Linked DNA regions of Macaca fascicularis. The protein of the gene in region 1 purifies or fractionates together with the protein of each later gene. This does not show direct contact. Links are inferred from orthologs where the notes say so. Each region holds a gene or a part of one and is shown on either strand. Other genes may lie near its edges. The genes, in order: PLN and ATP2A1.

Evidence for each region.
Region 2: the proteins of PLN (region 1) and ATP2A1 purify together in Homo sapiens (affinity purification with western blotting, with the first as the bait; 3 studies listed by BioGRID). This does not show direct contact. The link is inferred for Macaca fascicularis from reciprocal best matches to the Homo sapiens genes PLN and ATP2A1.

The regions. Positions count from the first base shown.
Region 1 is NC_088378.1:22,478,933-22,495,805, forward strand, and holds the start of PLN (phospholamban), read left to right. Parts: upstream 1-7,284; 5' UTR 7,285-7,381; intron 7,382-16,873. UniProt on the Homo sapiens protein: Reversibly inhibits the activity of ATP2A2/SERCA2 in cardiac sarcoplasmic reticulum by decreasing the apparent affinity of the ATPase for Ca(2+).
Region 2 is NC_088394.1:27,575,230-27,591,401, forward strand, and holds part of ATP2A1 (sarcoplasmic/endoplasmic reticulum calcium ATPase 1), read right to left. Parts: intron 15,540-16,172; coding exon 15,401-15,539; intron 13,430-15,400; coding exon 13,349-13,429; intron 10,192-13,348; coding exon 10,106-10,191; intron 9,955-10,105; coding exon 9,657-9,954; intron 8,508-9,656; coding exon 8,341-8,507; intron 2,472-8,340; coding exon 2,383-2,471; intron 2,124-2,382; coding exon 2,021-2,123; intron 1,807-2,020; coding exon 1,675-1,806; intron 1-1,674. UniProt on the Homo sapiens protein: Key regulator of striated muscle performance by acting as the major Ca(2+) ATPase responsible for the reuptake of cytosolic Ca(2+) into the sarcoplasmic reticulum.

The DNA.
Region 1 (16,873 bases):
ATGAGTTAAGGATGAAGTACAGTTTTCCTGAAATATAGCAAAACCATGTACAACTCTCAGTAGCTCAATTAAGTTGCTGGCAAAAAGTTACAATGCTTACATATTAGGAAGTTGGGTTTATTTCCACTAGGACATTTTTACATCTTTTGCTTTATAAAGTAAATATGAATTCCACATATCAAAATCTATTTTCATAACCTTCTCAAGAATGTATCTATGCTGAAAAATCAAGGGTCAGTTGTAATTTTACTCTACAAACTTAAAGAGGGCTGTGTAACTGAAGCATAGAAGCCATTATGTTTTAGAGGTTCTCACCTGAAGCAATCAAGAACCTATCTTAAATGTTGATATTATCAAAGTCTCTAAATAAAAGCTCAGATCTACATTAAGGTAGGATTACCTCCCCTCATCCTTACAGCAGGAGCACTGATCAAAAAGCCACTTGATCTAAACTAAAAGTGCAATTTCTTTAGTTGCTTAGTTGGTACAGTCATGTCACTCAGGATGTTTACTAATTCAGAGTTTAATTCTCACCCCAAAAATGTGTATTTTTAGCTCATTTTCTCAAAGAAGTTTCTCTAATTATAAAGAAATGTAACTGACCAAATCTCAAAAATTATTACATTTCAAATACAAATCAAATTCATTCACGAGCCTGATCACCCTTATATGCACTAATGTTTAGGAATAACAAGCTTACAGAACCAACAGAAGAAGAATGAGAATTTATCAGATTTATTTACATAGATGGTAATCATAGTGTTGTTTTTTAAGGTTTATAATGGCAAAAATTATATCCCCTGATATGCAATAAGATAATCACAAATTATGGTGTATTTATACGCCAAACTCACATTTACATAGTAAAAATAAGTTATTAAAATTTGTAACATATATTTTTAATAAATAGCACATAAAAATACCCAAACATATTTAAAATTATTCTTCAATGAACAGGTGATGTTTTAGAGTTTTTTAATAGAGTTTTTGAAAGCTTAACATGCCTGAAAACAAGGACCTTTTTTTTTAACTGCATTCCTTACCTAACAAAGTGCCTGACAACCAGTAAACCAGTAGTTTAACTAAAGAAATGAATTAAAAACTGACTTTTTGTGAAATGTACATGTTTAATTATTTTAACAAAATTAGCTAACATTAATAGCTACTTTAAAAATAACATTTTTCAAGCTAGTTTAGTATAATCAGAACATTTAGGCTTCAAAGAGACTTTAGAAATTAATTCAATCTGCCATCCATTTATTTATGAGAAAACTACAGTACAGAAAGATTTATTTTCTGAAAATCATAGAGTAAGGTAGTGAGAGAGGACAAAAAAATGAGAATGACAGTTCCAATTCAACTCCTTATTAATATTCCTTGACCAACCTACAATCACTCCAGAAATCTCTTATGGTTAAACAAAACTATGGAAAGCCATTGTTTTGGACTGAGCCTTAATTGCCCACACAAAACCAGAATGGAGTCACTCTGGTTTGTTTTGAACTCAGTCTTAACAGACCAGACCAGACAAGAATGGAGCCACTCCTGCTGGGAGCCACATAATCAAACTGAACTTCAACATCAGCAAGTTTTCCAAAAACAACAGGATATTCACAGCAACCAATCAGAAAGGGCCCAATTTACCTGAATTAGCATGATAAAGAAGTCTGTTTTAACCTTATAAGTAACTTATAATAACCAATTCACTTTTTGTTCCTTCTTTCTTTAGCCTCTTTCTGCCTAGAAAGCCCACCTCCTCCACTTAGCTCATCTGATGGCCTATGATAGAGATACTGCCCAATTCATGAATCATTAATCAAAGCCAATTAGATAATTAGACTCAATTTGTTGAAATTTTGTTTTTTGATGTTACACACATGTCAAAGTGTGAACAAGTTAAAGAATTAAGTGAAAATATTAGAAAAATATTTTCAGAGGCAATCATTAGGGACAAAGAAAATTAGTTTATCTAAGTTTCTGAGGGCCTTTATTCTCTCTTCTTTCAACTTACCCTTTTTATGAGTTCACTTGTAATGGAAAAACAATATTCTAAATATTCGTTAACTATAAAAATATCTTATTGAGCCTTCTAAGGGATAAGCAGTGTGTAGAGCTTAGAAAAAATAAATCAGTCTCTATTCATGAAGTTTATGACAAAGAAAATAAATATACCTATATAATATAGAAAGTCCCCCTCCGACTTCAGATTTATCTGATTTTTCTGAATTATAAGAGATATTCACTTATTACTTATATAATTAGAAATTAAGAACAAGCAAAACAGGGCTTCTCCCCACCTAATTCTGAATAATGAAGGAGTTCCGTAAGAACAAGACAGTAAGGAAAATATTTCAGATAGAAGAAATAACATATAATGGCAGAGTTGTCAAATCGTTATGGGAGGCATACATGGCAATGGACAGATCAGGAAAGAGTTTTTTTTTGTAGTTCTGTAAAGAGTGGGTTTTTCATCTTGAAAGAGAAATCAATGAAAAGTTCTTAGCATATGAATGACAATCAGATGTGCACTTGGATATCAGAGTAAAAACTGAGTAGGAAAGGGTCATGACGGAGGGTAGAAAAACTAGTTAATAAACCTCTATGAAAGTTAAGAGGACAGTTGGTCAGGCTATGAGAACAAAGACTTATATTTCACAATTTGCATTTGGTTTCTAAGTGAATGGGGAGTCTGGTAAAACCCAGAAAAGGTATGAGCCTCCAATTTCAATTTTGTATCAAAATCAGTGATGGTGCCACCACAAAGTTTGCGAATGCGAGGAGCTCAAAGGGCTGAGATATCAACCACAAAGATAAGAAATTTAATGTGTCTGGAGAAACACTACAACCATTAAATTGAACTGGAACCTTCTTAACAATGTAACAGCATCATGATCTGGACTCTATAGAATTTTGAAGCAAGTATCTGGAGACCTAAGGGTTGGTTTTTGTTGTTAAATTTGTTTTGTGATGTATGTGTTTCCCTTTGTTATTTTTGGCTTTGGTTCTGTTTCCTTTGTACAAAACATACACTTCTCTTAGAAGTCATACTGCTTATTATTACACGTGCTCATTTGACTCTCAATTGGGAATTTCTTTTTCTCCTGGTGTTATCTTGCACTAGTGGTTACCGTCCACATGTTAAATTTTCATTTCCATATTACTTGTATACTGATAAACAACAATTTCCTTGAAGCCACGTAGCATGCTATAGCATTTCTATCACTTGGAATGTTTAATAACTTTCCAAAAATTATGTAGACCTATATGAGTCCTTTTCTTAATCCATCTGGCCCCTCTTGACTCTCTTCTCCACCCCTCATCAAGATAAGGAAAGAGAATTTGTCCAGAATTCAGATATTTATGAAAAAATTAAATGTTTGGGTCTCCAGATTATCTGGCAAATCAAGTGAAAAGTGAAACTAGCTCCCCAAAATGACCCCTAAGCTTTATAGGTTACTTTATCATTGGGTTGTATTCACAGCTCCCCACCCCAGTTAATGAGTAAATCTTATTTCCTCCTCCCTGTTGCCCTAGGAAGAGAATTTCCATCCTCTCAATCTCAGACCACTATTCTCATTTGCAGTTTTGCTTAGATGTTTTTTGAACCAGTCCTTCCCCCTACGTAGCTTAAAAATTTAAGATGGTAATTATCAAGCCCTCAAGTACCCTCAAGAGCTAGGTAAAATCTTCCTCCTGGGTGTCTAGGAGATCTAATCTAAAAAAACTCCTTATCTTTGATGTATTGTGGGCAACACAAAAATTGATTTGAAGCTTGCATTTTACTGTATATCTGTCTAAATATTAAAATGCTTTAATTTAGTCATCACTTAAATTAAGTTCTGGTCAAAAATTTCCAAAAAACTGTTCTATCTTGAAGCTTCTTTACCCTCCAGATACACCACTACAGACTGGAGTTTAAATACTCAACATAAAAGATTACTACGTACGTCACAGTGTCCTTTACAAAAAGTAACACAGCCGGGTGCGGTGGCTCACACCTGTAATCCCAGCACTTTGGGAGGCTGAGGTGGGCAGATCATTAGGTCAGGAGTTTGAGACCAGCCTGGGCAATATGGTGAAACCCCATCTCTACTAAAAATATAAAAATTAGCTGGGCACGGTGGCACATGCCTATAGTCTCAGCTACTTGGTAGGGTGAGGCAGGAGAATCGCTTGAACCCGAGAGGCGGAGGTTGCAGTGAGCCGAGATCACACCATTCACTCTAGGCTGAGTGACAGAGTGAGACTCTGCCTCAAAAAAAAAAAAAATTAGTAATACTTTTGAGGAATACATTTAAAATGCTACAAAACTATATAAAAACAAAAGTAAAGACATGAACCCAGGATTCAGTTAAAACTGAGGAAATACTAAATTCCATTTAGAGCTTAGTAAAAATAAATTTGTAATTATTTTCCCATCCAAGTTCAAAGACACTTTATCCTTAAGAATCCACCTTCCGCCGGGCGCGGTGGCTCAAGCCTGTAATCCCAGCACTTTGGGAGGCCGAGACGGGCGGATCACGAGGTCAGTAGATCGAGAGACGATCCCGGCTAACACGGTGAAACCCCGTCTCTACTAAAAAATACAAAAAAATAGCCAGGCGAGGTGGCGGGCGCCTGTAGTCCCAGCTACTCGGGAGGCTGAGGCAGGAGAATGGCGTAAACCCGGGAGGCAGAGCTTGCAGTGAGCTGAGATCCGGCCACTGCACTCCAGCCTGGGTGACAGAGCAAGACTCTGTCTCAAAAAAAAAAAAAAAAAAAAAAAAAAGAATCCACCTTCCAAAGGAAAAAAGAAAATAAGTACTAACACTAAATGAACACTGTTGCAGGATCTCTGATAATCACTATGTACACTTCGTGTCATTAAACCATCACAAATACTACTGCACAGATTAAGCTGCTTAAGGAAGTTATTTGTATAAAGTCATGTGACCAAAAATACATTCAAACTATAGTGACTCCAAATGAAGATTGCGACAAAGCACCTCAAAAAAAATTTCCAGCCTCTAGTTGAGGAATCATTGAGGAACAGTCTACTGATAACACTATAACTCATTAATACTCCTATTAAACAACTTTCTGTTTGGGCAATAAAAACAATGTTTAGTTAAAATGAAAATATAATACTTCCTAGAGTTCCACGTGGGATCACCATCATCGACATCTTCACTAGCTAACCCAAAGGAAAAAGGTAAACACAAAAACTCCCCACTCTTATACCAATATAAAAGTTAATTTTTTGAATCCATTTTCCAACTATGTCACACACAGTTGTTAGTATCCTTCTAAGGTGTATATATGCCTATGTATATTTTTTAAGTAAACTTGTAAACTCGTGGTAACTAGGGCATATTTTATTCAATCTATGGCAGCTTCTTGGTTTATCCAACTAAGTATTACTAATTCCATTTTCTTAGAATGAGAAGTTCTTAGAACAATGATCTATCACCTAAATTTCAAATGAATGTATAACTGGTAGACAAACATAAAGCAGACTTTCTAAAACTATTAACAGTGCTCAAGAATGCACCTATTTTCATCTCAAAAATTTCTTAGTTACTATAGGCTACTCTAATGAAAGCTATATTCAAATTATAATTTTTTCCCACAATATGCCAATAGATTAGGAATTATAAACAGACAGATCTGCATTTGAATCCTCAGTCTGTTCTTTAGCGGTTGGTTATCTCTGACAAATTACTGTAAACCTCTTTAGGTTTCTAGGTTTTATATTATCAATCATCATTGGTAACTGATGGTACTGAGAGATCCTCATTATGTAAGGATTGAAAGAAAAATGGTTGTAGCACTAAGAAAAGTAACAAACATTATTCATGCGATTTCCTTAACTTGGGTTTTACTTTTAAGTTGTAAATTTTCCCTTGGCAATGTTCACAGAGTATCTTTGCTAAAATATTATTTTTCACTTAGTTTTAAGCTGATTCTTTAAATAACAAATGATTTGCTCTAGAGATGGATTTTCTTTCTTTGGAAGAAGCCAAGATCATCTCCATTTAAGGGCACATAAGCAGCTGCTGCTACACATTTTAGTTACCCATAAGAAAGTGAAGTGGGCTAAGTTCACTCTGTCATAAGCATTTAAAAAATTAAAGATTACAAGTACCTCCTCTAAAATTAAAGAAGAGATTTAAGAATTAATATTTTCAAGTGTGGTGACTTAAGTAAATCTGACATGTAAGACAACAAATTAGATAAACAGAGGAGAATGATGCCCGGCTTTACAAAAAAATTATTTCCCCATTTCTACTGTAAGATAAACTGTTCTAGGAAGTTCAAAATATCCTCACTTACTAGTATCTCATTTGTATAGTAATTTTCAGGAAAGCACCTGCTAGATTAAATGAGGCACATCCTTTTAAAAACATTACAAAACTTAAATTTCAACACATCAAACCTATAAAGCCTCATTAACTGATATGTAACTGATTTGGAATCTGTAATTATTTCTTTTTTGCTATAAAGTTGCCCTTAATACTGCATCTGTTTATAAAAAATTTATTAAGATTGTGTAACAATTTAATGCAACTGTTTAAAAAAATCTTAAATACTTAAAAGTAGCATATTGTTATTTTGGGGGGGATTATATGTATCAGTTTAAATATAAGAATTACCATTCACAAATATATTGTTAAACTGCTAATTGAAGAAAACACAAATGAATTAAATACATTTATTAGTTCTTTAACTGTAAGATAAAAATCATTTTTTAAAACAAAAAGCAGTTACTAGCCTGATTTCCTCATACACACTCCTTCTTCCATACACACAACAAAATAAGAAAATAGGTATAAAATTTGATTGTGTAAAAATATTTCACTATTGTCTTGTTGAAAGCTAACATTATGAAGACGTGGTATTAAAGCAACAGCAGCAAGAATTCAATGAAAGTTGTTTTGCTTATACTTGTGTTTATTTTTCTCATAATTAAAATTCCTGTAGTAACTATTTTGGCTCTTCAACATCTTCACCATTAATATTCAATTATCTCTAAGCCTGAAGATGCATGAATCTTTAACAAAAGCTTTCTACCACCTCAAATTTACTTTGTTTTTTCATTTATCTGCCATATACTGTTTTAAATTAGAAACAAAAGATGAAGCACAAAGTGTTAATGACTTTTCCATACCTAAAGTAAGAAGTTCTAAAGTTTGGTTGTGCTGAGACTAAGACTATGGCTAACCAATCGAAACTTCAGAATTCCTATGTGACATCATAAGACCTCCCTAGAACACTTTTTCTCCTCCACCTACTGCAACTGTTCCCATAAACCGGGTGACAGAGTCAGAAAACTCCCCAGCTAAATACCCATAAGACTTCATACAACACAATACTCTATATTGTGATGATCACAGCAGCCAAGGTAAGAAACAGATTTCACTGACTTTGGTAATTCTTACTTTCTGTAATTCTTTAATTCCTATAATTTCTATAATCTGAACTTTTAAGATAAGTTACTTTTATTAATATCAGTTCAAACTTAAGCAATAAAATGACATGACAAAGTGCTTAAATTTATAAATGCTTATCCATTTAGTGACAGTAAAAATGAGACAACTTTGAAATGAAAAAGGTCATATTCATCTTTGATCCTGGTTATTTGTTTGTCATTTTAATTTAACTTTCACTTTTATTTTGCTTTTCAAATGTGAATTTCTGCCAATTAAAAAAATCTTCCAATTATGTTACCATATTTGGCAGCAGTGGTTTAATTTCTCCACACAAAAACAATGACTTAATTTTGTTATTTATTGCTCTGCTGAGAAACAGTGCAGAACTGAGTTATTTACATTTGAACTAATATGAATAGTCATTTGACTACAAACATGCATATTATCAGCATGCCTACTGCAATATCATCATAATTTCATACAGTGAATAATAATGAAATGGAGCTTAAGAATATATAATACAAGCTACTTTTAAAGTGCCCTTGAGGATGTTTCCCCTCTAAAGTCCAGTCACCTTTTAAGAAACATTTCTAAAAATTCCATGCTGTTAATAAATTGAGTTACTGATATTAAATTCAATATTGTATCATAAAGAAGTTTAGAAATTTTAAAACACTTTTCACAAACACACAAAAATCTGTTAGAGAATAGACACTTTAAAAAGTTATTTTGACACATGAATATTCTTAAGTATCTTATTTTCACACAAATTTGATTAAATGGATTTCTGCCTATTAATGCCTATAATTTTGTCAAGTTATTATCCTCCAGTGTTACTCCATTTCCTCTCTGAGATTTAGAAAGACAGGAGAAAATAAAATAAATGCCAGGAATGGAGATGCCACAATCAATTTTATGACTTCCGTTTGAATTCTACCCTATTCTTTAAGTTACAATCCTCAATTTAGTAAATGAAACGTTTCCTCATTCTCAGATCTCTGTCAGGGCTTACAGAAAATTACATATATTTTATTTATTTTAACTTTCATATTTTATATATATGTTAAAATTTACCTCTAAAATTCTCAATTCCCATGACAAATGTTAACTCTCTTGCTCACTACAAATACGAACTTTGTAATTCTGTAAGCGGTTTTCCTTAAGACATACAAAAACATAATTTTTGTCTACCATTGAGGTATCCTAATTGCATCTCCATATCTCTATACTCATAATTTTCCTTTGCTATTACACAAAAGTCATTCAGTGTAGGTGTCTTATATGCTTATTTGTGCATTTTTATTCAAATATCAAATTACATTCTCACACTTCAAATTGGGTGTTCATGAGTTATTTTATTGTATCAGAATTTCGCTTTATCACATATTGCTCTAAAAAGTACACAACCTCTGGATAGAGCAGAAATTCTATTAAAGTTACCCTTAGCTCACTAGTATGTCTCAGTTAACAGAAATTCCAGTTACAGAGACCGTTAAAATTTCAAACATAATGTGGTAGTACCATACATTATGTCCCAAATAGTTCATCTATACCTTAAGTTGCCAGTTAAGTATTGTCTTTGTTTATGAAGACATGTGGTTTAAAAATAAGTGCTTAAAAAAGTGTTAGATGAAATAAATGGGAAAAATATAAAATGTTTAAATTAAGAAGTGTTAAGTTTTATAAACACATGAAAGAGTCAGAGTACATGCTTTACTAAAAGGCGTGACAGCACTATCATTTCCCAAAATCAAATATCAAATCTATTTTATTTGTATTTTAGTAGGCATAAAGGAAAATAATCGCATTTGGGTATATAATCATATCTTTAATTAGCGAGATTAAGAAACAATAAGAAAATATTGCATAAACACAATGGTTTCAGAAAATTTTAATGTATTTTAATGTTTTAATGTACTAATTACACATGTAATACTAAATTATGTAATATATTAAATTTTTAATTTAAAAACAAATTTTAAAGTCTAGTTACCTCTCTAAATTAGACAATATATTACCAATCCCAGAAATGAGGGGGGCCAATTAAAACTTCTTCTTAAAGAACAATTTCCTAATGTACTGGTGTACACAAATATTTTATTTGGTCCTCTTAATTATATATTTGATACTGCATCCCTATTCTACAATTTAGGAACGATGCAAAAAGGTGAACTGCTCAAGATCACATAACTAAGAAAACAGGGAAACCTTAGCAGAAGTTTAGGTTTTGTCACTAAGCCACATGCACATCCTCTATATATTGACCAGCATGGCTTGAAGTAAATTGTGACACTGATAAACCAAATTTGAAAGCCCCCAAACACTGTAAATGATACTCTAAAAGGCAAATTCAGAGAATACAAACTTCTATTTTAATTTAAAACCATTCCATTTCACTTAAATTCAATTTGTACATCAGGCATTACATTCTTAATAGCCTAAATTATATTCTACTGATCATTTTCAAAACCAGAAATATACGAACATTACAGATGTCCTTAGTTGTTAAGCAAAATAACTGCAGTTAGATAAAATTCAAACTAACTGCACAGACTTCAAAAAACCGTAACATATCCCAATCAATCAAAGTTTCCTTTTATTTGTTTCATTGCTAAAATACTCATGCCTTCAATTCATCTGATACCTAAAATCCAAGTTAATATCTCCTCAAAACTTTCACAAAAACCACATTTCGATACTTTATTCTAGGTTCCCTTTTAAATCCTCAGTCCTCAGCATTCCTCAGTTTTATTTCTGAATTACCCCTCCCCATACTCTACCATTTTAAATATCCAAAACTATTTGTTTTGACATGTTTAATCAATCTTGCTTTGTTATTTGCTACAAAAATCCCTAACTTTCATCAAAACTGTGAATTAACAAAGAAATGATCATACTAGCAAAGTAAACCTAAAGGTAGAAAAATCAAGAAAATAATCCTTCTAAATTACAGTGGCATAAATTAGATAAGATGTAGTCTCTTTGTATATTTGCAGAAATAGCACATCAAAGTTCTTACCCAGAATAATTCTGAAGCATGTGTTACCAAATAAACACATGAAAATGAAGCCTGGATGTACAGCATACTCATAGTCAACTGAGGACCTCTAGTGCCTTTGAAAAGGTACTCCATCTTTAGTTTTCAACCCCCATCCCCTGCTCCCCCCGCAAAAAAAAGGTTGACCAATACACTCACATTAATAGGGGGTACATTTATTAAGTGACATTCATTTCTCCTTAAGCCTTTCTCAATACTACCCCCCCATATTCTCTTCCCCCCAAAAAGATTCTGAAGTTCCAACTCCTACAGGGTTAAGAAGAGTATTTTACTTGTAAATAAACTTGTAAAGCATTGTTTCAATATTTAAAAAACAATAATGAAGGCAAACCTACAGACACTGTAGCAATAGCAATAAGCTAAATTGTCAATTTCAGAGAGAAAAATCTCTCTGTGCTGTTGTTTAATGAATTCTCCTCAAGACTTAACATGAGGAGCACTTCATTACGGGTCAATTTAGGAGTGAGAATATATTGATTTTTATGCATATACAATTATTTTCATAACCAGACAGAAGCAGCTTGAAGATTCTTTCAAACGGCCAGTCTGGACCAACAAAGCTCTGGAATGTTGCTACCACAAAGTAACTTCAAACAGAATGTCCAAGTTTAGTATTAGGCAATCTCAAAAGGAAAATGACTCCACTGGAGTGAACTTTTGTAAGCCAACAGATTCATCATAAATCTAATGATGAACTGTCCTAATTTATTACCACAAGTCCAAAAAAGGGTGTATACACGTTCACTTATCGTTTACCTGTGGAAATGTCAGAAAGTAGTAGAAAAATAAAATAAAATTCCAAATAATCCAAATATAGACAAGCCCTGTTCATTCAAATTCAATCTATAGAAAATTCTAATCTTCTAAACCAAACAGATGGAAAAAACATCCTAGAGTATATCAGACTGTAGCCTTAGATATTACTTGAATTCAATTTAATAAAGTATTGCTTCAATAATCCCATGTTTAGTAAAAGAATAAACAAAAATAAAAGGAGAAAAGCAAAATTCTAAATTCTACAAATATAAAGAATCCCAGGAATTTATTATTTCAGCAAAAGGCATATCACCAAAAATGCTGAAGTTTGAGAAGTTCCGCAAGCACTGAACATGCTTAAAGTATAGGTGGGGATTAATGCTCAGCATATACAACATCATTAAAGCATCAATTGTCTAGCAAGTCATAAAGCAGGCCACCAAAAGTTTTCAGAAGACTATTGAGGTTCCTTCCGCACAAGAATGCATTTGATATTATATTGCTACAACAGGACTCACTGCAGACAAAGTAAGGACTCCTGAAGGAGTTGATATATAGTACCTTCCACCAAACATGCTGCCTAACATGGTATACAACATTAGTCAAAAGATTAGAGTTGCCTAATGGCTTTTCTATTTCCTTCTTCCACCCAAAAAAAAAACAAAAACAAAAAACCATACTATCTTGAACTTGATTGTTTTTTTAAATTTCCGGTGTCACTTTTCTTGAGGAAAAGAAAACAATCAAAGGATTTATAAATCCCACAAAGAATAGTTCTTTATTTTTATTCTTCTCATTCTCCTAAAAAGTAGAGTAATCATGGATCCACAGACATAAGATACTCTGTGGATACTTTTCTGCCTCTGACATGCAACTCAAGAGACAGGAGTCTGGCATTTCTACACCCAAACTCCTAACAAGCACCTTTCATGTTTTCAATACTCTTGATTCTAGGGCCTACAAGATAAATTGATTTTAAAATTCATCTATAAGTGAATACCACTCTTGTGTCAAAACAACCAATTTATATGTGTGTATGTGTCTGTGTATATATATATATATAGTCATTCTTTTAATAAGAGGATGGAGAGTAACTTCAGTTTCCATGGTTGTTTAGGCCAGACACAAGTTCAGAAAATCCCAAAACTATTTATGATTAGACTAATAGAATGCTCTAAAAAGATCAGATAACATGAAAATAAAACTAAACTATTTTTCTATGCTTTCCATCAAAAATTATTAAACAGCTTGGCTGTTAAGAAATTTATTTTTTTTTAAAAAAAAAAAGGAAACTCATACGGTGGTTGTCAGTGCAGAGAAGAGAATGATAAACATCTGACAACCATGAATTATAATGTAGTAAAGGTCACAGACAACTCTAAAAATAGGATTATGCTGTTCCCACACAAAGGTTTTCAATTCTCAACATATGACAGGAAACCCCATCTTCTATGGACAAAATCTGGCCTAATTATCATCATACAAATGTTGGTATTCAATAGAACTAGGATTCCACACATTTCAGATTATACCACTGTAAAAAATTGAGCCCAATAAATTAAATGTGTATCATTAACATTTTAGCATGTAAAGCAGATTTGTTTTCAGTTTAGGCATAAAATTATAAAGCAGTTACAAATAACTTTAGGATTACAGCATATTTCTAAATCTGACAAGAAACAGGATACTATTTTTGGTCATCTCCTTTATACCCAATTTGTTTCCAGAAACCAACTCTTGTTTTTCAATAACAGTTAGCTGTTGTAGGATTATAAGATCATCTTTAAAGTATGTTAATTATGCTTTAAACAGCAGAGAGCTCATCTCTTTCAGGCACATCTTTGTATTTCACAAATACTAAAAACCCATTTATACAAAGTCTAGTTCAGGTTAATATTATGTTAATCAGGTGACCATTAATTTAGGTGAATCCTCTAAGCCTCATTTTTCTCATCTGTGATAGAAAGAGGCTTGAGGAGAATATTAGAGCTTACATGTTCAACTAACAAATTGTTATTAGAACTAATCTGCCAATCACAGCATTATTTTTAAAATTTTTTAACTTATTATTAAAAATGAGGGCCAGGCATGGTGATTCACACTTGTAATCCCAGGAATTACTTGAGCTCAGGAGTTTGAGACCAGCCTGGGCAGCGCAGTGAAACCCTGTCTCTACCAAAAATACAAAAATTAGCCAGGCATGGTGGTGCCCATCTGTGGTTCCAGCTACTCAGGAGGCTAAAGCAGGGAGATCACTAGAGCCTGGGAAGTTGAGGTGCAGTGAGCCATGATTGCACAACTGCATTCTAGCCAGGGTGACAGAGCAAGACCCTGTCGTTCATTCATCCATTCATAAAAATAATTAATTAAAAATGAGATGGGGTCTCATTTTGTTGCCCAAGCTGGTCTTGAACTCCTGGGCTCAAACGTTCCCTCCGCCTAGGCCTCCCAAGTGTTGGAATTATAGATGTGAGCCACCGTGACCTGCCCACAGCATTATTTTTTATTTACAATTTTCTAATAGTTTTAGTCATAAAAATCCCTTATTTAACTTTAATGATTTATTGAAACATACCAATTATGCACTAAGTACTAGGATACTAAATGAACACATGGTTTCTTTACTTCGGAAACTATCAAGTCTAGTTGGGGATACAAACATGTAAACTGAAATTGTGCTATAATCTGATAGATATCCTCATATAGATAACACTAAAGCCCTATTAAAAACCAGTAGAGGTGACAACCAATTCCACCCTAATAACTAATGAAAGGTTTCATCAGGAAGTGATATTTAAACTGAACCTTAACAATCAACTGAAGCTTGCCTGGCAGAGAATCAAAAGGTGGAGGACGCATTCCAGGCAGAGATAGAACAACATGTGCAAAGAATAAAATCACAAAAGCGAATGGAGTATTTATGGAAAGGTGACATGTTTCATGTGACTGAAGTACAACTTATCAGTGTCAAGGTAGGGGATGACTCCTGTATATATGCTTAATGATAAACTCCTGGCCAACTCCCTCCTTTCCCATGTTTTGCCTCAAAGTAATTTTTTAAATTTCTGACCTTTTAAGACCAGCTAAGCCCAAAAACCTCACAAAACCATATATTCAAATAGGAATTACCAAGGCTAATTATTATTCCTTTCTTCTCTGTATTATGCTACGTATCTTCATAAAAGGTGACTACTCAGCCAGGCGCAGTGGCTCACGCCTGTAATCCCAGAACTTTGGGAGGCCTAGGCGGGCCGATCACAAGGTCAGGAGATCGAGACCATCCTGGCTAACACGGTGAAACCCAGTTTCTACTAAAAATACAAAAAAATTAGCCAGCCATGGTGGCAGGCACCTGTAGACCCAGCTACTTGGGAGGCTAAGGCAGGAGAATGGCATGAACCCAGGAGGTGGAGCTTGCAGTGAGCCAAGATCACGCCACTTCACTCCAGCCTGGGCAACAGAACGAGACTCTGTCTCAAAAAAATAAATAAATAAATAAAATCTTCCCGTAATTCTCCAATCCACTAGATCTATAATAATCAACTATCAACAGAAACAACTTAAAGGATGAATCTTAATAAAGAACGAAAGAAAATCTATTTCTATTTTACCTGAAGAATTCAAACAAACATCATTAAATATACGTCAAGTTTAAGCTGCTGTTTTCCTTTTTTTTAACTTTTAAGTTTGGGGGTATGTGTGACGGTTTGTTACATAGGTAAGCACACATCATGGGGGTTTGTGTGTATTATTTCATCACTCCGGTATTAAGCCCAGTACCCAACAGTTATCTTTTCTGCTCCTCTCCCTCCTCCCATCCTCCCCGCTCAAGCAGACCCCAGCATCTGTTGTTTCCTTCTTTGTGTTCATAAGTTCTTATCATCTCACTCCCACTTAAAAGTGAGAACATGTGGTATCTGGTTTTCTTTTCCTGTGTTAGTTTGCTAGGGATAATGACCTCCAGCTTCATTCATGTTCCCGCAGAAGACATGATGTCCTTCTTTTTTATGGCTGCACAGTATTGCACGGTGTATATGACCACATTTCCACTCTGTCACTGATGGGCACTTAGGCCGATTCATGTCTTTGCTATTGTGAATAGTGCTGCAATGAACATCCATACGTGTATGTTTTTATGGCAGAAAGATTTATACTCCTCTGGATATATACCCAGTAACGGGATTGTTGGGTCAAATGGCAGTTCTGTTTTTATAAGCTGCTGTTTTCTAAGTAGAATTGTTACAGACAACCTAAATAACAGCCGTTAGCCACCGTTTAGACAATGAAGAATACATGCTAGAAAAACACAGGTTGTTAATAACTCTTTAAGGAAAGAAAATTTGATAGAAGTTGGCTTTTTGGAACTCCTTGCTACAGACCAATATTATGAAGGAGGACAGAGTCTCAAGCCAAAAAAGGCCCAGTCTACTATATAATTCAGAATATAATAGAGCCAAGTTGAACTATTGAACACTACAGAATCTAAACACCATAAACCATACGGTTTCTCTGTAAAAGTAAATGTTGGGTTCTAACTGGTCAGGCCTGATACCTACCTTCCCCTTTGCCATTCTTTCAGTACTTCCTTCTGTTCCCTTCAGCACTTTCCTCTCTCAGGAATGGGCTAACAGGTTGAGAGAGGCTTTTATGAGATGTATAAAAAGACTTAGGAGAAAATAAAATCTGACAGTTGGGGTAAGGTAGTAATATGTTGATTAACAATAATATATCAACAAATGTTAACAGTCACTATGTCTGGCAATTAATTATAACTTTTTTACTCTATTTTTTATTTTTCTTATTTCAAAATTGATGCAGAAGTATCCTGATTGAAAACAAAATGTCCCCCAAGTGTTAATAACCATTATCTCTGGACAGTTAATACAGTTAATTTTCAGTCTATATATAATTTTTCTGTAATAGCATGTAAGTTCTTATTTGTTTTATTAATCATCAAAGTATAGACCCCACAGGCAGCAATAGCTTGTGGTATCTCTGAAAGAAGGCATGATGGAAACTACTGCTATTAAGTAGAGGTCTGTAAATAGAAAATGTCTGTGGTAGATGGTGAGATAATAATAATTACTACACATTCCAAGCTTGATAGTCTTCAGTACTTAAAATCAAATCTTATTAAAATGTTAGTTAAGATAACATTCTATAAAGCTATAAAATCATAAAAAGGAATGACAATTTCAATCCACATTTTTGGTAAAACACTTCCCATTTAACACTATTTTATTTTGGATTAAAATCAAGATCCAGGGAACAATTTGTTGTATGCATTTCCTTTTTATGAGATTGGCTCTGGAGCTATTAATACAGTAACTGATCAAACCAATTACATCTACAGTGTAACAGATTTAAAGAAACTGTATGTGAGAACTTTTACCCAAAAGAATAACCCAAAACGAGCTGTACCTTAAACCAAATACAGCAGGTCCTCAAATAACATCATTTCCTTCTATGTCATTTTGTTATAACATTTAAGTATGTGTGCAGCTTGAATGTTCTCTCCATATCTGTGGGACTCTCGTTTCCTCCCATATCCCAAAACTGTGCACATTAGGTTCACTGGCGTGTTTAAGTTGTCCTGGGTTGAGTGTGAGTGTGTACATGAGTGTATCCTGTGATGGAGTGGTCTCCTATC
Region 2 (16,172 bases), on another chromosome or scaffold:
TGCATCTGTAATTCCAGCTACTAGGGAGGCTGAGGCGGGAAAATTGCTTGAACCCGGGAGGCGGAGGTTGTGGTGAGCTGAGATCGTGCCACTGTACTCCAGAATGGGGTGACAGAGCAAGACTGTCTCAAAACAGACAAACAAAAAGAATGAAAGCCTTTTTCACCAAATGTATCATGGATACTTCTCCAAAAAACAAAACAAAAATAAAAGGAACAGAAAATCAATAGCCAGGAGAAGTGGTGCATGCCTATAGCTTCATCTACTTGAAAGGCTGAGGCAGGAGGACCACTTGAGGCCAGGAGTTAAAGGCCACAGTGCGCTATGATCGCACCTATGAATAGCCATTGCACTCCAGCCTGGGCGACAGGCCAAGACCCCATCTCAAAAATAAATAAATAAAAATTTATGTTTGCATTATAATTTATAAATTTTTAAAATTAATCCTCTATTGATAGGTATTTAAGTTGCTTTCAGTTTGTTTGTTTATTTTTAAGACAGGGTCTCCCTCTGTTGCCCAGGCTGCAGTGCAGTGGTGCAATCACTGCTCACTATAGCCTTGACCTCCTAGGCTCAAGCAGTCCTCGCACCTTAGCCTTCCTAGTAGCTAGAGGACAGTTTTGTACCACCACACCCAACTAATATTTTTCTATCTTTTTTTTTTTTTGAGACGGAGTCTCACTTTGTTGCCCAGGCTGGAGCGCAGGGGCACAATCTCAGCTCACTGCAAGCTCCGCCTCCCGGGTTCACGCCATTCTCCTGCCTCAGCCTCCCGAGTAGCTGGGACTGCAGGCACCTGACACCATGCCCAGATAATTTTTGTATTTTTAGTAGACACGGGGTTTCACCGTGTTAGCCAGGATGGTCTCAATCTCCTGACCTCGTGATCTGCCCGCCTCGGCCTCCCAAAGTGCTGGGATTACAGGCGTGAGCCACCACGCCTGGCCCTTTTTTTTTTTTTTTATTTGTAGAGATGGGGTCTCACTGTGTTGCCTAGGCCGGTCTTGAACTCCTGGGGTCAAGTGATCCTCCCACCTCAGCCTCCCAGAACGCTGGAACTACAGGCGTGAGTCTCTGTGTCTCACCTGCTTTTTTGTTATATTAAATAAAGTAGCAATGAGCATTTTGTATATACAAAAAAAGAGAGAAACGTGGGGAATATAATTCACCAGAGAGAGGTGCTTAATGGAGACGTTCAGCAAGTATCAATAGCAATAACTGGGAGTGACAGTCCCAGAAGTGGCTGAGTTCATCTGGGCAAGGAAAGGCTTTCCCTGTAGGTGCAGCAGCCACATTTCCTAAATCCTAAGTCAGGACTCATGATCTGCTGAAAGCAAGTGTGCTTCTAGAAACAAAGGGATAACAGATGAAGTTGGGGCTGCTCCTGGATGGGTCCCTTGTAGTTTCCGTGTCCAGCTTTGTCCACTTCAACTCAGGACACAGCAGGCAGAAGTGATCATAGATCCATCAAGGGCATAGCTGCCAGGCAGCACCAGGGACAATGGGTCCCACCCACATCAGCCTGCGGAGAAGCTGTGGGGGGCCGTCCACTGCCTGGGTGGGGTCCCAGCACAGGCACTAGGCTCTACCCAGTCCAACCAGGGCCTCTGCCTTCCTCTGGTCTGTGCAGCATAGAGTGGAGATGGCCCTGTGGCAGGGGCTCTGCAGGCTCACCGAGTTGCAGGCGTTGGCTCTCTCCACCTTCGAGAGGCTTCTCACATCTGTGTTGAATACATTCATCTTCTCCACCAGGGTGGTGAGTGCTGTCTCGGTGGCCTCGCCAACCTTCTCATAGACACCTTTGGCCTGAGATGGGCAGAGGAGGAAGAGGAAGTAGGTGCCCCAGGCTCCCACCTGTCACACCCACCTTCCACCTAGCGTAAGAAGGAAGCAAGCCACTGCCTCCCTTGCACGCTGGCAGAGGACTGGGTGTACTGGGTCCCCTTCCTCCAACCCTTTCCTCCTGGCCTTCAGAGGAGGCTCAGACTCTGAGCCAACTGGAAGGGGAAGGAGAGGTTACCTCGTTGAAGTCCAAGGAGGAGTCATTGCAGAGGGCACAGATGGTGGCCAGCTCCACCAGCCCGTCATACTGCCCTGGCCGGACTGGCTTATCATTCTTCAAGCTGGCAGCAGGGTCGGAGGAGGAAGGGACAGAGACAGTGGAGAAGAACAGGGAATGAGATGCAGAGAGGGCACAGGAAGAGCAGGCAGCCGAGGGTCAGGAAGGACAGTAGGGAGAGCCAACTTGGATATCAGGAGAGAACAAGGTCAGGGAGGAAGGGGAGAGTGAAAGGAAAGCAAAACCACATGGAGGGTCCCAGGGAGAAAGGGGGTGTGGGGAGGGGCGTGAGGAGCTGGGGAGAAGTTGCCTGGGTGACTTACACCTCTCCCTCTGGAGCGTAAGTGGAGCCGGTGATGGAGAACTCATTCAGGAGGCAGATGTCCCCATCCACCTTATCAATGATAAACATCTGCAGGGGAGAAGGGCAGGCACACAGATGTCCACCTCTCCCCATCCCGAGGTGGGCGCCTGCATCAAAGGAGGCCTGTGCTGCCAACACCTACCCTCCCACCCTCCTACTCACCCCTCCCTGTCCCCCACCCCCCATATACCCTACCCACTTCCCACCAAGCTGTTGCAATCATTCTCCATCAAAGCCATAAAACAATCGTTACTGAGGCTGGGCGAGGTGGCTCACACCTGTAATCACAGCACTTTAGGAGGCTGAGGCAGGTGGATCACCTGGCAGGAGTTCAAGACCATCCTGGCCAACATGGTGAAACCCTGTCTCTACTAAAAATACAAAAATTAGCCAGGCATGGTGGCACGCGCCTGTAATCCCAGCTACTCTGGAGGCTGAAGCAGGAGAATCGCTTGAAGCTGGGAGGCAGAGGTTACAGTGAGCCAGGATCGTGCCATTGTACTCCAGCCTGGCAACAAGAGCCAAACTCTCAAAAAAATAAATAAATAAATAAAACACACGCACACACACAAACAAGAGTGACTGCAAGCTATGCTGGAGCTTCTGTAGATCAGTTAATAAAATAAGATGGAACACAATAAGGTGTGGTAGGGACTGTGGAAAACGGCCGACCTATTGGCACCTGGACCGTCTATAGCTCCAGCTGCACGTGGCCAGATCTTCCAGTTTTGCAGGAAGAGCTAGAAATTCAGGTTATCTTCCTGTGAAATCTCTTGACTTTTTCTTTCTTTCTTCTTTTTTTTTTTTTTTTTTTTTTTGAGACAGGTTCTTGCTCTGTTGCCCAGGCTAGAATACAGTGGTGTGATCATAGCTCATTGCAGCCTCGACCTCCCAGGCTCAAGTGATCCTCCCACCTCAGCCTACCCAAGTAGTTGGGGCCACAGGCACATGCCACCATGCCTGTCTCTCTCGCTCTCTCTTTTCTTTTTTTTTTTTTTTTTTGGTAGAAATTTGGTCTCACGGCCGGGCACGGTGGCTCAAGCCTGTAATCCCAGCACTTTGGGAGGCCGAGACGGGCGGATCACGAGGTCAGGAGATCGAGACCATCCTGGCTAACACGGTGAAACCCCATCTCTACTAAAAATACAAAAAAAAAAAAAAAAATAAGCCAGGCGAGGTGGCGGGCGCCTGTAGTCCCAGCTGCTCGGGAGGCTGAGGCAGGAGAATTGCGCGAACCCGGGAGGCGGAGCTTGCAGTGAGCGGAGATCTGGCCACTGCACTCCAGCCTGAGCGACAGAGCCAGACTCCGTCTCAAAAAAAAAAAAAAAAAAGAAATTTGGTCTCACTATGTTGCCCAGGCTGGTTTTGAACTCCTGGGCTCAAGTGATCTTCCTGCCTTGGCCTCCCAAAGTGCTGGGAGTACAGGTACCCACCATGATGCTGGGAGTACAGACAGGCAACCACCATGCCCAGCCTCTTGACTTTCAAAAATATGGGCAATTCTTTTTTTTTTTCTTGAGATGCAGTTTCACTCTTGCTGACCATGCTGGTGCAATCTCGGCTCACCGCAACCACCGCCTCCCGGGTTCAAGTGATTCTCCTGCCTCAGCCTCCAGAGCAGTTGGGAGTACAGGCAAGCACCACCACACCCAGTTAATTTTTGTATTTTTAGTAGAGACAGAATTTCGCCATGTTGGCCAGGCTGGTCCCGAACTCCTGACCTCAAGTGATCCACTCACCTTGGCCTCCCAAAGTGCTGGGATTACAGGTGTGAGAATTCATTCATTTTTATGAAACATGACAGGAGCCGAGTCACACGAGTCTGTGGTCTGGCTTTGTGGCCTGTGCGTTAGAGGGATGTGGAGAACGCAGTGCCCAGGAGGAGTGGCCTACCCTGAACCCTGGGCAAACGCAACAGAGACTGGGCTTTTCATTCCCGAGAAGAGAGATTGTTAAGATGGGTTCCAAGACAAAAAAGTTCTGTGGTCAGAAAAAACTTGGGAACCTCTGGGTTAAACAAAGCAGAATCCGTCTTCTTTACACAGTCAGCCTCCTCTAAGGCTTTCAAATACCAGCAGGCGTTACGGGGCTCTCCCAGGAGCCAGGGTTACAGCCTTTCTCGCCCTGATCTGACCACACAGCCCTTGCTTCTCAGAACAGCAATTTCTAGTTCATGGGTGTAGTCTTCCACAAAACTCTGTGTAGGGCAGGGGTTCTTGGCCTGAGGTCAGTGGAAGACCCCTCAAGGAGCCCAAGAACTGAGACAGCCAAGAAAAAAATGACAGCTTTTCTTGTTCTCACGCTGACATTTGACATTTCCTTCCAGTTATGCATGTTGTCAACAGACCACATTAGTATTAGCAAAACCTGTGACTGTCACCAATTTAATCACAGATACTTTCCTCCTATCACATTACCGCTGTTGCAGATCTCTCAAAATAGCATAATTTATGCTCACCACTGCTTCAACATTATGATAGTGCTTAGACCCACTGCGAGAACTCCCTATTTAATGCCTTAATAAAGAAGCATGTATGTTGCCAAATTACAAAGTTGTTTTTAAAATATTTTGATAGAACTATATTTCACAATCATTGATTTCCTCTGTAACCCTATGTATTTTTCATATGTATTTTTATATTTTTTACTTTGTTATTTTCATTTTTTAATTATTATTATTATTTGAGACAAAGTCTCTCTCTGTTGCCCAGGCTGGAGTGCAATGGTGCGATCTCAGCTCACCGCAACCTCCGCCTCCTGGGTTCAAGCAATTCTCCTGCCTCAGCCTCCCAAGTAGCTGGGATTACAGGTGCCCACCACCATGCCCGGCTAATTTTTTGTATTTTTAGTAGAGACGGGGTTTCACCATGTTGACCAAACTGACCTCAGGTAATCCGTCTGCCTTGGCCTCCCAAAGTGCTAGGATTACAGGTGTGAGCCACCGCATCTGGCTACTTTTTTTTTTTTTTTTGAGACAGAGTTTTGCTCTTGTTGCCCAGGCTAGAGTGCAATGGCACAATCTCGGCTCACCGCCTCTACCTCCCAGGTTCAAGTGATTCTCCTGCCTCAGCCTCCCAAGTAGCTGGTACTACAGGCATGTGCCACCACGCCCAGCTAATTTTGTATTTTATAGAGACAGGGTTTCTCCATATTGGTCAGGCTAGTCTCGAACTCCTGACCTCAGGTGATCTGCTCACCTCGGCCTCCCAAAGTGCTGGGATTACAGGCGTGAGTCACTGTGCCTAGGCTTTTTTATTTTTTTTTGAGATGGAGTTTTGCTTTTGTTGCCCAGGCTGGGGTGCAATGGCGTGATCTCAGCTCACTGTAACCTCCACCTCCTGGGTTCAAGCGATTCTCCTGCCTCAGCCTCCTTAGTAGCTGGACTACAAGCATCCACCAACACACCCAGCTAATTTTTGTATTTTCAGTAGAGACGGGGTTTTGCCATGTTGGACAAGCTATTCTCGAAATTCTGACCTCAGGTGATCCACCTACCTTGGCCTCCCAAAGTACTGGGATTACAGGCGTGAGCCACTGTGCCTGGCTTCCTATGTATTATTATTATTTTTTTTAGATGGAGTCTTGCTCTGTTGCCCAGGCTGGAGTGCGGTGGCACAATCTCGGCTCACTGCAAGCTCCACCTCCCAGGTTCACGCCATTCTCCTGCCTCAGCCTCCCGAGTACCTGGGACTACAGGCACCTGCCACCATGCCCAGCTAATTGTTTGTATTTTTAGTAGAGACGGGGTTTCACCTTGTTAGCCAGGATGTTCTCGATCTCCTGATCTTGTGATCCGCCTGCCTCTGCCTCCCAAAGTGCTGGGATTACAGGCGTGAGCTACAGTGCCCTGCCTCCTATATCTTTTTAAAACAGAATCCTGGCCAGACGCAGTGGCTCACTCCTGTAAACCAGCACTTTGGGAGGCCGAGGCAGGCAGATCACTTGAGGTCAGGAGTTAGAGACCAGCCTGGTCAACATGGCGAAACCCCGTCTCTACTAGAAATACAAAAATTAGCTGGGCGTGGTGGCATGTGCCCACAGTCCCAGCTACTTGGGAGGCTGAGGAAGGAGAATTGCTTGAACCTGGGAGGTGGAGGTTGCAGTGAGCCGAGATTGTGCCACTGCACTCCAGCCTGGGTAACAGAGTGAGACTCCATCAAAACAAAAACAAAAACAAAAAAACCCAGAATCCTGTGTTGTTTATTTATTTTTTAATTTTCTATTTTATCTTTAAGAAGATGTGGTCTCACTGTGTTGCCCAAGCTAGTCTAAAACTCCTGGGCTCAAACGATCCTTCTGCCTCAGCCTCCCTAAGTGCTAGGATTACAGGCATGAGCCACTGTACCTGGCCCTATTTTATTTTATTTTTTTATGTGTGTGAGGGTCTCGCTCTGTTGTGCAGGCTGGAGTACAGTGGTGTGATCACTGCTCACTGTAGCTTTGACCTCCTGGCTCAAGCAATCCTCTGGGTTGAAGTGATTCTCCTGCCTCAGCCACCTGAGTAGCTAGGACTACAAGTGCGCACCACCACATCGGGCTATTTTTTTTTTTTTTTTTTTTTTGGTAGAGATGGACTCTCACTATGTTGCTTAGGCTGGTCTCGAACTTCGGGGCTCAAGTGATCCCCATCCTCCCACCTTGGCCTCCCAAAGAGATTACAGGCGTGAGCCACCACCCCCAGCCTGTTTTATTTTATTTTATTTTATTTCTTTGCATTTCATTTTATTATTTAAGACAGAGTCTTACTCTGTCACCCAGGCTGGAGTGCAGTGGAGTGATCTCGGCTCACTGAAACCTCTGCCTCCTGGGTTCAAGAGATTTTCCTGCCTCAGCCTCCCCAGTAGCTGGGATTACAGGCACACACCACCATGCCCAGCTACTTTTTGTATTTTTAGTATAGATGGGGTTTCACCATGTTGGCCAGGCTCATCTCGAACTCCTGACCTCGTGATCTGCCCACCTTGGCCTCCCAAAGTGTTGGGATTATAGGCGTAAGCCATTGCGCCTGGCCTGTTTTATTTTATTAATATGCATTTGAAATATTATCCTGAGAAGAGCTCAACTGCAAAGGGGTGTGAGGCACAGAAAAGATTAAGGGCCACGCTTTAGGAAATGCTGTTCACGGTCAGTGTTGGCAGGCTGGGCGGGCCCTGTCATGAGTGACCATTCAGGAGAGCCATCCACTTCACAGGCAGAAGCTTTGGGGCCACACAGACTTGAGTTTGAAACTCAACTCTGTTACTTTTTAACTGTGCATCTTGGGGGAAGTCATGTAATCTCTGAGCCTTTTTCTCTTCTAAAAAAGGAAGTTAGGCTGGGTGCTGTGGCTCACACCTATAATCCCAGTACTTTGGGAAGCCAACGGGGGCACAACACTTGAGGCCAGGAGTTTAGGACCAGCCTGGCCAACATGGCAAATCCTGTCTCTATTGAAAATGCAAAAAAATTAGCCGGGCATGGTGGCAGGCACCTGTAGTCCCAGCTACTAGGGAGGCTGAGGCAGGTGAATCGCTTGAACCCAGGAGGCAGAGGTTGCAGTGAGCCAAGATCACACCACTGCACTCCAGCCTGGGTGACAGAGTGAGACTCTGTCTCAAAATCATAATAATTTTCTTTAATTAAAAAAAATGAAGTTAATGAGACCGTCCTCTGAATGGGCTATTGTGGGGGATGAGAGACAATGTGTGGCAGTGCCTGGTGCATGGATGGTTGTCAGAGTGAGCTGTCTGGCTGGGACACAAGGGTCCTCTCTGATCCCCTTCATGGCAGACAGGATGGTGTTCTACTGCCCTTTGAGCATTTTGCAGGCCCAGATGAGAAGCCAGCAGTGATGAAGGGAGACCTCTATCTTTGGAGGGCCCATTTTACCCCCACAGGCAGCCTTCTGACTGAGTGCGCTGCCCACACTGCTTCTGACCTTGCAGACAGACATCTGGTTGGTGGTGAGGGTGCCTGTCTTGTCGGAACAGATGACAGAGGTGCAGCCCAGGGTCTCTACGGAGGGCAAGCTCCTTACAATGGCATTCTTCTTTGCCATCCGGCGGGTACCCAGGGCCAGGCAGGTGGTGATGACTGCAGGAAGACCTGTGGGGAGGGAGGGAGGGCGTGAGGGAACCTGCAAGGGGAGGGAGGGTGTGGTCTGTAGTCTGCTAAATAGTAGCCCCCAGCTACTATTGGTGCACACCTGTAATCCTAGCACTTTGGGAGGCTGAGGTGGGAGGATCACTTGAGGTCAGGAGTTTGAGACCAACCTGGGCAACACAGCGAGACTCCTCTGATAAGATTTAAAAATTAGCTGGGCATGGTGGTGATTGCCTATGGTACCAGCTACCTGGGAGGCTGGAACAAGAGGATTGTTTGAATCCAGGAGTTTGAGATTACAGTGAGTTATGATTGTGATACCATGCTCCAGCCTGGGCAACAAGAGTGAGACCTTGTCTCTATTAAACAAACAAACAAACAAACAAACAAACAATAATGGTCCCTAAAGATACCAGATCCTAATCCCTGGAGCCTGTAAATGTTACCTTACTTGGAAAAGGGGTCTTTGGGCCGGGCGTGGTGGCTCATGCCTGTAACCCCAGCACTTTGGGAGGCCAAGGCAGGTGGATTGCTTGAGCCCAGAGTTCGAGACCAGCCTGGCCAACATGGTGAAACCTCGTCTCTGCTGAAAACACAAAAATTAGCCGGGCCTGGTGGCGTGCACCTGTAATCCCAGCTACTTGGGAGGCAGAGGCAGGAGAATCACTTGAACCCAGGAGGAAGAGGTTGCACTGAGCCGAGATTGTGCCACTGCACTCTAGCCTGGGTGACAGTGAGAGACTCGGTCTCAAAAAAAAAAAAAAAAAAAGGCCGGGCACAGTGGCTCACGCCTGTAATCCCAGCACTTTGGGAGGCTGAGGCGGGCAGATCACGAGGTCAGGAGATTGAGACCATCCGGGCTAACGCAGTGAAACCCCGTCTCTACTAAAAATACAAAAAAATTAGCCAGGCGTGGTGGCGTGTGCCTGTAGTCCCAGCTGCTGGGGAGGCTGAGGCAGGAGAATGGCATGAACCCGGGAGGCGGAGCTTACAGTGAGCCGAGATCACACCACTGCACTCCAGCCTGAGTGACAGAGCAAGACTCTGTCTCAAAAAACAAAAAAGAAAAAAATAAAAAAAAGAAAGAAAGAAAGAAAAGGAGTCTTTGCAGATGGGATTGCAAATGGGAGGAGAAAAGAAAGGCTTTCGTACCTTCGGGGATGGCAGCCACAGCCAAGGCCACAGCAATCTTAAAGTAGTAGATGGCCCCACGGATCCAGGAGCCCCCATGGACAGGGTCGTTGAAGTGGCCAATGTTGATGAGCCAGACAGCCACACAGATGAGGGAGATGACCTTGGAGAGCTGCTCCCCAAACTCATCCAGCTTCTGCTGCAAAGGGGTCTTGTCCTGTTCTGTGGCAGCCATTTGGTCTCGGATCTTCCCAATCTCAGTGCCCACGCCGGTGGTGGCCACAATGCCCAAGGCCTTGCCAGCTGCAATGTTGGTGCCCTGGGAAGGGAAAGAGAAGGCAGGGAATCAGGAAAGAGGTGACCTTCATGCCGCATTCCCCCACACCATCTCTTCTCACACCGCCATGTTTCTCTCCAACCCGGGCACCTGGCTTGACTAAGCGTGTGACAGCTGGTCCCAGATTGCTCACCGAGAAAAGCATGTTCTTCTTGTCCTGGTTGACAGCTCGGGGGTCAGGAACGGGCTCCGTGTGCTTGATGACAGATACAGACTCGCCTGTGGAGAAGGGGCCAAGGGGTTTTCAGATGACATCATGTCCTTCTCCCAGGCTTCCCACGCCTAACTCCCTGCTCAGCAGGACAGCTCCTGGTAAGGACCAAGTAGCCATCCTGGGGGATGTCTGGACTCTGGAAGAAGCCACTGAAGGCAGCTAGGAAGTCCATTGCTCCTTTTTTTTTTTTTTTTTGAGACAGAGTTTCGATTTTGTTACCCAGGCTGGAGTGCAGTGTCAAGATCTCAGCTCACTGCAACCTCTGCCTCCCAGGTTCAGGCAATTCTCCTGCCTCAGCCTCCCAAGTAGCTGGGATTACAGGCACATGCCATCACACTTGCCTAATTTTTTTTTGTATTTTTAGTAGAGACGGGGTCTCACCATGTTGGCCAGGCTGGTCTCGAACTCCTGACCTCAAGTGATCTGCCCACCTCAGCCTCCCAAAGTGCTGGGATTACAGGTCACCGTGCCCGGCCAGAAGTCTACTGCTCTTAAAAAGACCTTGAGCCGGGCGCGGTGGCTCAAGCCTGTAATGCCAGCACTTTGGGAGGCCGAGATGGGTGGATCACGAGGTCAGGAGATCGAGACCATCCTGGCTAACACGGTGAAACCCCGTCTCTACTAAAAAATACAAAAAACTAGCCGGGCGGGGTGGCAGGCGCCTGTAGTCCCAGCTACTTGGGAGGCTAAGGCAGGAGAATGGCGTAAACCCCGGAGGCGGAGCTTGCAGTGAGCTGAGATCCGGCCACTGCACTCCAGCCTGGGCGACAGAGCAAGACTCCATCTCAAAAAAAAAAAAAAAAAAAAAAAGACCCGAGCCCGGCTTGACCACTAACAAGCTGTGTGACTGATCACCTAACTTCCATGTGCTCCTCTGTAAAAATGGGGACAAGGACATGTACACTGCAAAACAATATATTGGGTAAAAATCAAATAAGTGGACATATTTGGAACCACACTTTCAACTGTCAAGCATGTTTCTGGGAGGAAGGGGGACCCACCCTTAGAACCATGCCTCCCTCACCCTAAGAGCAGGGACTCAGCAGCAGGCCTGGGCCAGCCTAGCCCTTGACCCCTGGGACCATGGGGAATGTTTTCTGCCTCCTCTTCGCTTCTCCCTGCCAGTGCAGAAACAGAAGCAGCTATGGTGGTTTTATAGAGACAGGGTCTTGCTCTGTTGCCCAGGCTAGAATGCAGTGGTGTGATCATAACTCACTACAACCTCAAACTCTTGGGCTCAAGTGATCCTCCCACCTCAGCCTCCCAAACAACTGGGACTACAGGTGTGCAGTACAATGCCCAACTAATTAAAGAAAAAAATTTATAGAGATGGGGTCTTGCTCTGTTGTCCATGCTGGACTGCTGTGGTAATCATAGCTCACTGTGGCCTCAAGCTTCTGGGCTTAGGCAATCCTCCCACCTCAGCCTCCCAAGTAGCTGGGACTACAGGTGCACATCACCACACCCAGCTAAGTTTAAAAATTTTTTTTTTTTTTTTTTTTGAGACAGAGTCTTGCTCTGTCGCCCAGGCTGGGGTGCAGTGGCCGGATCTCAGCTCACTGCAAGCTCCGCCTCCCGGGTTTAGACCATTCTCCTGCCTCAGCCTCCCGAGTAGCTGGGACTACAGGCACCCGCCACCTCGCCCAGCCAGTTTTTTGTATTTTTTAGTAGAGACGGGGTTTCACCGTGTTAGCCAGGATGGTCTCAATCTCCTGACCTCGTGATCCGCCCGTCTCGGCCTCCCAAAGTGCTGGGATTACAGGCTTGAGCCACCGCGCCCGGCCAAAATTTTTTTATAGAGATGGGGTCTCGCTGTGTTGCCCAGGCTGGTCTCAAACTCCTGACCTCAAGTAATTCTCCTGCCTCAGCCTCCCAAAGCACTGGGATTACAGGTATGAGCCACCACACCCTGCCTAGCAGCCATGGTTTCAGTGTATCTGAACCCCCTATCTTGTCATAGAATCTCATGTCTCCTCCCTGGAGGATTTTTTAGGAGGCTGAAGGAGACAGGACAGTTCTCGAGGTGTGTGTGACCCTATGTCCATGTGCAAGGGGTAGGCTCGCGGCTATCTAGAGAGTGGGCAACAGCGTCCAGCCTTCTCCCACTACTCATCCCATTTCAGGCTTGGGACAGATGGAAACATCAAGCAGGCTGGGCGCAGTGGGTGGCTCACACCTGTAATCCCAGCACTTTGGGAGGCTGAGGCAGGTAGATCACGAGGTCAGGAGTTCAAGACCAGCCTGGCCAAGATGGTAAAACCCTGTCTCTACTAAAAATACAAAAATTAGCTGAGTGTGATGGTGGACGCCTGTAATCCCAGCTACTCCAGAGGCTGAAGCAGGGAATTGCTTGAATCCGGGAGGCAGAGGTTGCAGTGAGCCGAAACTGCGCCGCTGCCCTCCAGCCTGGGTGACAGAGCAAGACTCCATCTCAAAAAAAAAAAGACTCTATCTCAAAAAAAAAAAAAAGAAAACATGTCAAACAGTGCTGCCACTGCCACAGCCACTGCTAGTGAGCCAGGGGGAGGCCCCAGTGCTGGTTTTTTTTTTTTGGCTTTTGCTTTTTTTTTTTTTTTTTGAGATGGGGTCTTGCTCTTGTTGCCCAGGCTGGAGTGCAGTGACATGATCTTGGCTCACTGCAGCCTCAGCCTCCTGGGTTCATGCCATTCTACTGCATCAGCCTCCTGAGTAGCTGGGACTACAGGTGCCTGCCACCATGCCTGGCTAATTTTTGTATTTTTTGGTAGAGACAGGGTTTCACCATGTTGGCCAGGCTGGTCTCTAACTCCTGACCTCAGGTGATCCACCCACCTTGGCCTCCCAAAGTGCTGGGATTACAGGCATGAGCCACTTTGCCCAGCCTTTTGTTTGTATTTTGATAGAGACAGGGTTGCCCAGAAAGGAGTGCAGTGGTGTGATCACAGCTCACTGCAGCCTTGACCTCCTGTACCCAGGTGATCCTCCCGCCTCAGCATCCTGAGTAGTCAGGACTATAGGCACTCAACAACATGCCCAGCTAATTTTTAAAAATTTTTTTAGAGACAGGGTCTCTCTATGTTGCTCAGACAGTGAGGGTTCTCTGTCTTTCCACTCACCTCCCCCTTGTTGCCTCTTCCTTCCCACATCCCACCCCCAAGCATCTTCCCACCCAGGCCAGCAGACCTGTCAGGATGGACTGGTCAACCCGCAGGGTGGTGGATTTGATGGCGAGGATTCGGATGTCTGCAGGGACTTTGTCTCCCACTGTGGAGAGAGTAGGGAAGAGGGAGGTCACTTGGGAATGGAATTTTCTTCCTTCCTAAGAAAAACCCAATCTGTGTCTGACTCATTCTCCTCATCCATCCTTCAGGTCTCAGGGAGGCTCCCAGGGCTTGCATCAGGCCCTTGGCATGAGCTCCTGAAGCTGGCAACCACCCATCGTGACACCCATCCCTTCTGCCCCCGTGTCCATGGCGAGCTGGAGTCTCATTCTGTTCTCAGGTTGGTCTTGAATTCCCACATCTCTTCCCACTGGCTGTGAGCCCTGAGAAGGGATGGGCAGGCATACTGCTCAGCACATAATACATGCTAAATAAATGCCCACTGAATGACTAGAGGCGAAATTAAGGACAGTCCAGCTGTAGGACAAGAAGCTAGAATTGAGAATGGGAGACAGGAGTGAGAAAGACAACGAGGAAAGGCAAGGAAAGAACTCAGGGAAAACAGGGTGTGTTAGAGAGAAGGGGTATTGGGGTGAGAGAATGAAGCGGACAGCCAGGGAAGGCAAGGAGAAACGGGAAAATATGGAAATTGAGAAAATCGAGGGCAACCAAGAGAACAGTGGAGGGCAAGGCAGGAGAGGAGTGAGCGGAAGGTATGAGTGGGCAGGACTCAAGGCAGCAGGGGGCGAAGGGTGGTAATGGAGGGGACCACATATCAGGAACCTGACAGCTGGGTCTGAGCATCTCAGGGAGGCAGGGAGGTGAGGAGCTGGGGAAAGTAAGCTGGGAACATGGACAAGACAGGACGGATGGGGCGAGAGAGAAGCGGGGGGGTGAGCAGGAAACAGGTGTGGAGGAGCAGGGCCGGCAGCACAGGCTGGAGAGTGAATGGGTGGAGGTGAGGCCGGGGAGATGCACAGGTGGGTTGACAGACACATGGAAACCACCTTGGGGGCGGCTGGAGAGGTGGATGCCCAGCCAGACTCAGAGACCTTAGGAGGAGCCTAAGAACCTCCCAGGGCTGCTGCCTAATTCCACACTGGTCCCACGGATGGTACTGGGGACCGGATCCAATCGCTTTCCTTTCCCTCTGTTTCTAAGGCCCCCTCCTGTGCCAGAGGAAATGGACCCAGGAGGGAGGAGGGAGGTCGGGATGGAGTCAGGCGGGACGCTCTGTCACCCAAGCCCGTGTGATATTTATAGACATTCATGGCGCTGACTCCATGCTGTCACGGCGGTAATGGGGTGCCGGGGTCTTCGGCCTGCCCTCACTCCCTCTCCCCAGGCTCCCTGGGGTGGTGACTCGGGTGTCTGCTACAGGGAAGGAGGCCTCAGAAGAGCCATTCCCCCTGGCAGGGGCCTGGAGCTTCGGGAAGGCCTGCTCAGGGCAAATATAAAAACCGCTGAAGGGGGCAGAATCCCAGTAATCTTAGCCACCCAGCCCCCACCCCTCCCTGGCCAGGCATTAAGTGTCCCTTGCCTCGGGCGGGGCCCTCCTTGAGCTCCCTCCTCCCCAGTCCCGTGCTCCGTGCAGGGCCTGAGTTTCCCTTACATGGCCGGGGGCTCGAGCCTTCGGCCTCCCTCCTCCCTTCTGCCCTCGCTCCTTCCCCTTTGAGAGGCCTCAAGGGCACGGAGAGGTCAAGACTGAAAGCTGACCAAGCTTGGGGTGGGTGGAAGGAGGGGGAAGCCAGGCCCCGGGAGGGGGTGGAGACGGGGCCGTTGGCAGGGACCGAGTTCCACCTGTTGCCTGCAAGTGCGAGTGCAGGGTGAGAGGATGGAGAGCAGGGGGTCTGCCTGCAGCCTCAGGGACAGGACTGGCTGTTCCTGCTGAGACTCTGCTGGTGAAGGGGGGCCGTGGCCGGAGTGGCCTGGGATGACCTTCTGAGGAGTCGGAAGGAGAAGCAGACTCCGCCATCCTCCTGGACACTGGGATCTGAGCCTGACCAGCCCCCAGCGTCTCCTAGGCCTCAGTCCCAAAGCTTCGCATCCTGGACCAGCCGTCCCTGTCACTCACCAGCCACCTCCACGATGTCCCCGGGGACGATGTCCCGAGCCTTGATCCTTTGCACTGCCTTGCGGTCAGCCCGGTAGACCTTCCCCATCTCTGGCTCATACTCCTTCAGGGCCTCGATGGCATTCTCTGCGTTCCGCTCCTGAGGAGACAGGGTGGAGGAGGCATGGTTATGCACAGGAGGCAGGGTTATGGAGTTGTGGCTCCTGGCACAGGGGAGGCAACAAAACCCAACACGGGCAGGGGTGTGTGTGTGTTGAGGAAACTGTCACCTACAGCTGAAAACAGGTAAGAGGGTTTTGGGGAGAGAACAAAGAAGAATCAAAGAAAATCAGGCTGGGCGTGGTGACTCGCACCTGTAATCCCAGCACTCTGGGAGGCCGAGGCAGGTGGATCACTTGAGGTCAGGAGTTCAGGACCAGCCTGGACAACATGGTGAAACCCCATCTCTACCAAAAGTACAACAAAACAAAACAAAACAAACAAACAAACAAAAAACAAAGCCTAGTGTAGTAGCACGTGCCTGTAATCCCAGCTACATGGGAGGCTGAGGCAGGAGAATCACTAGAACCCGGGAGGCAGAGGTTGCTGTGAGCTGAGATCACACCACTGCACTCCAGCCTGGGCGACATAACAAGACCCTGTCTCAAATAGAAAAATCTAAATAAAAAAGAAAATCAGAGGCTGCCCTGCAGATGTTGTCCTAGACCTGCCAGCACCACAGACACAGTGGCTCTGCTGTACCTGTAACACTGGGGCAAAGAGAAAGTGCTAT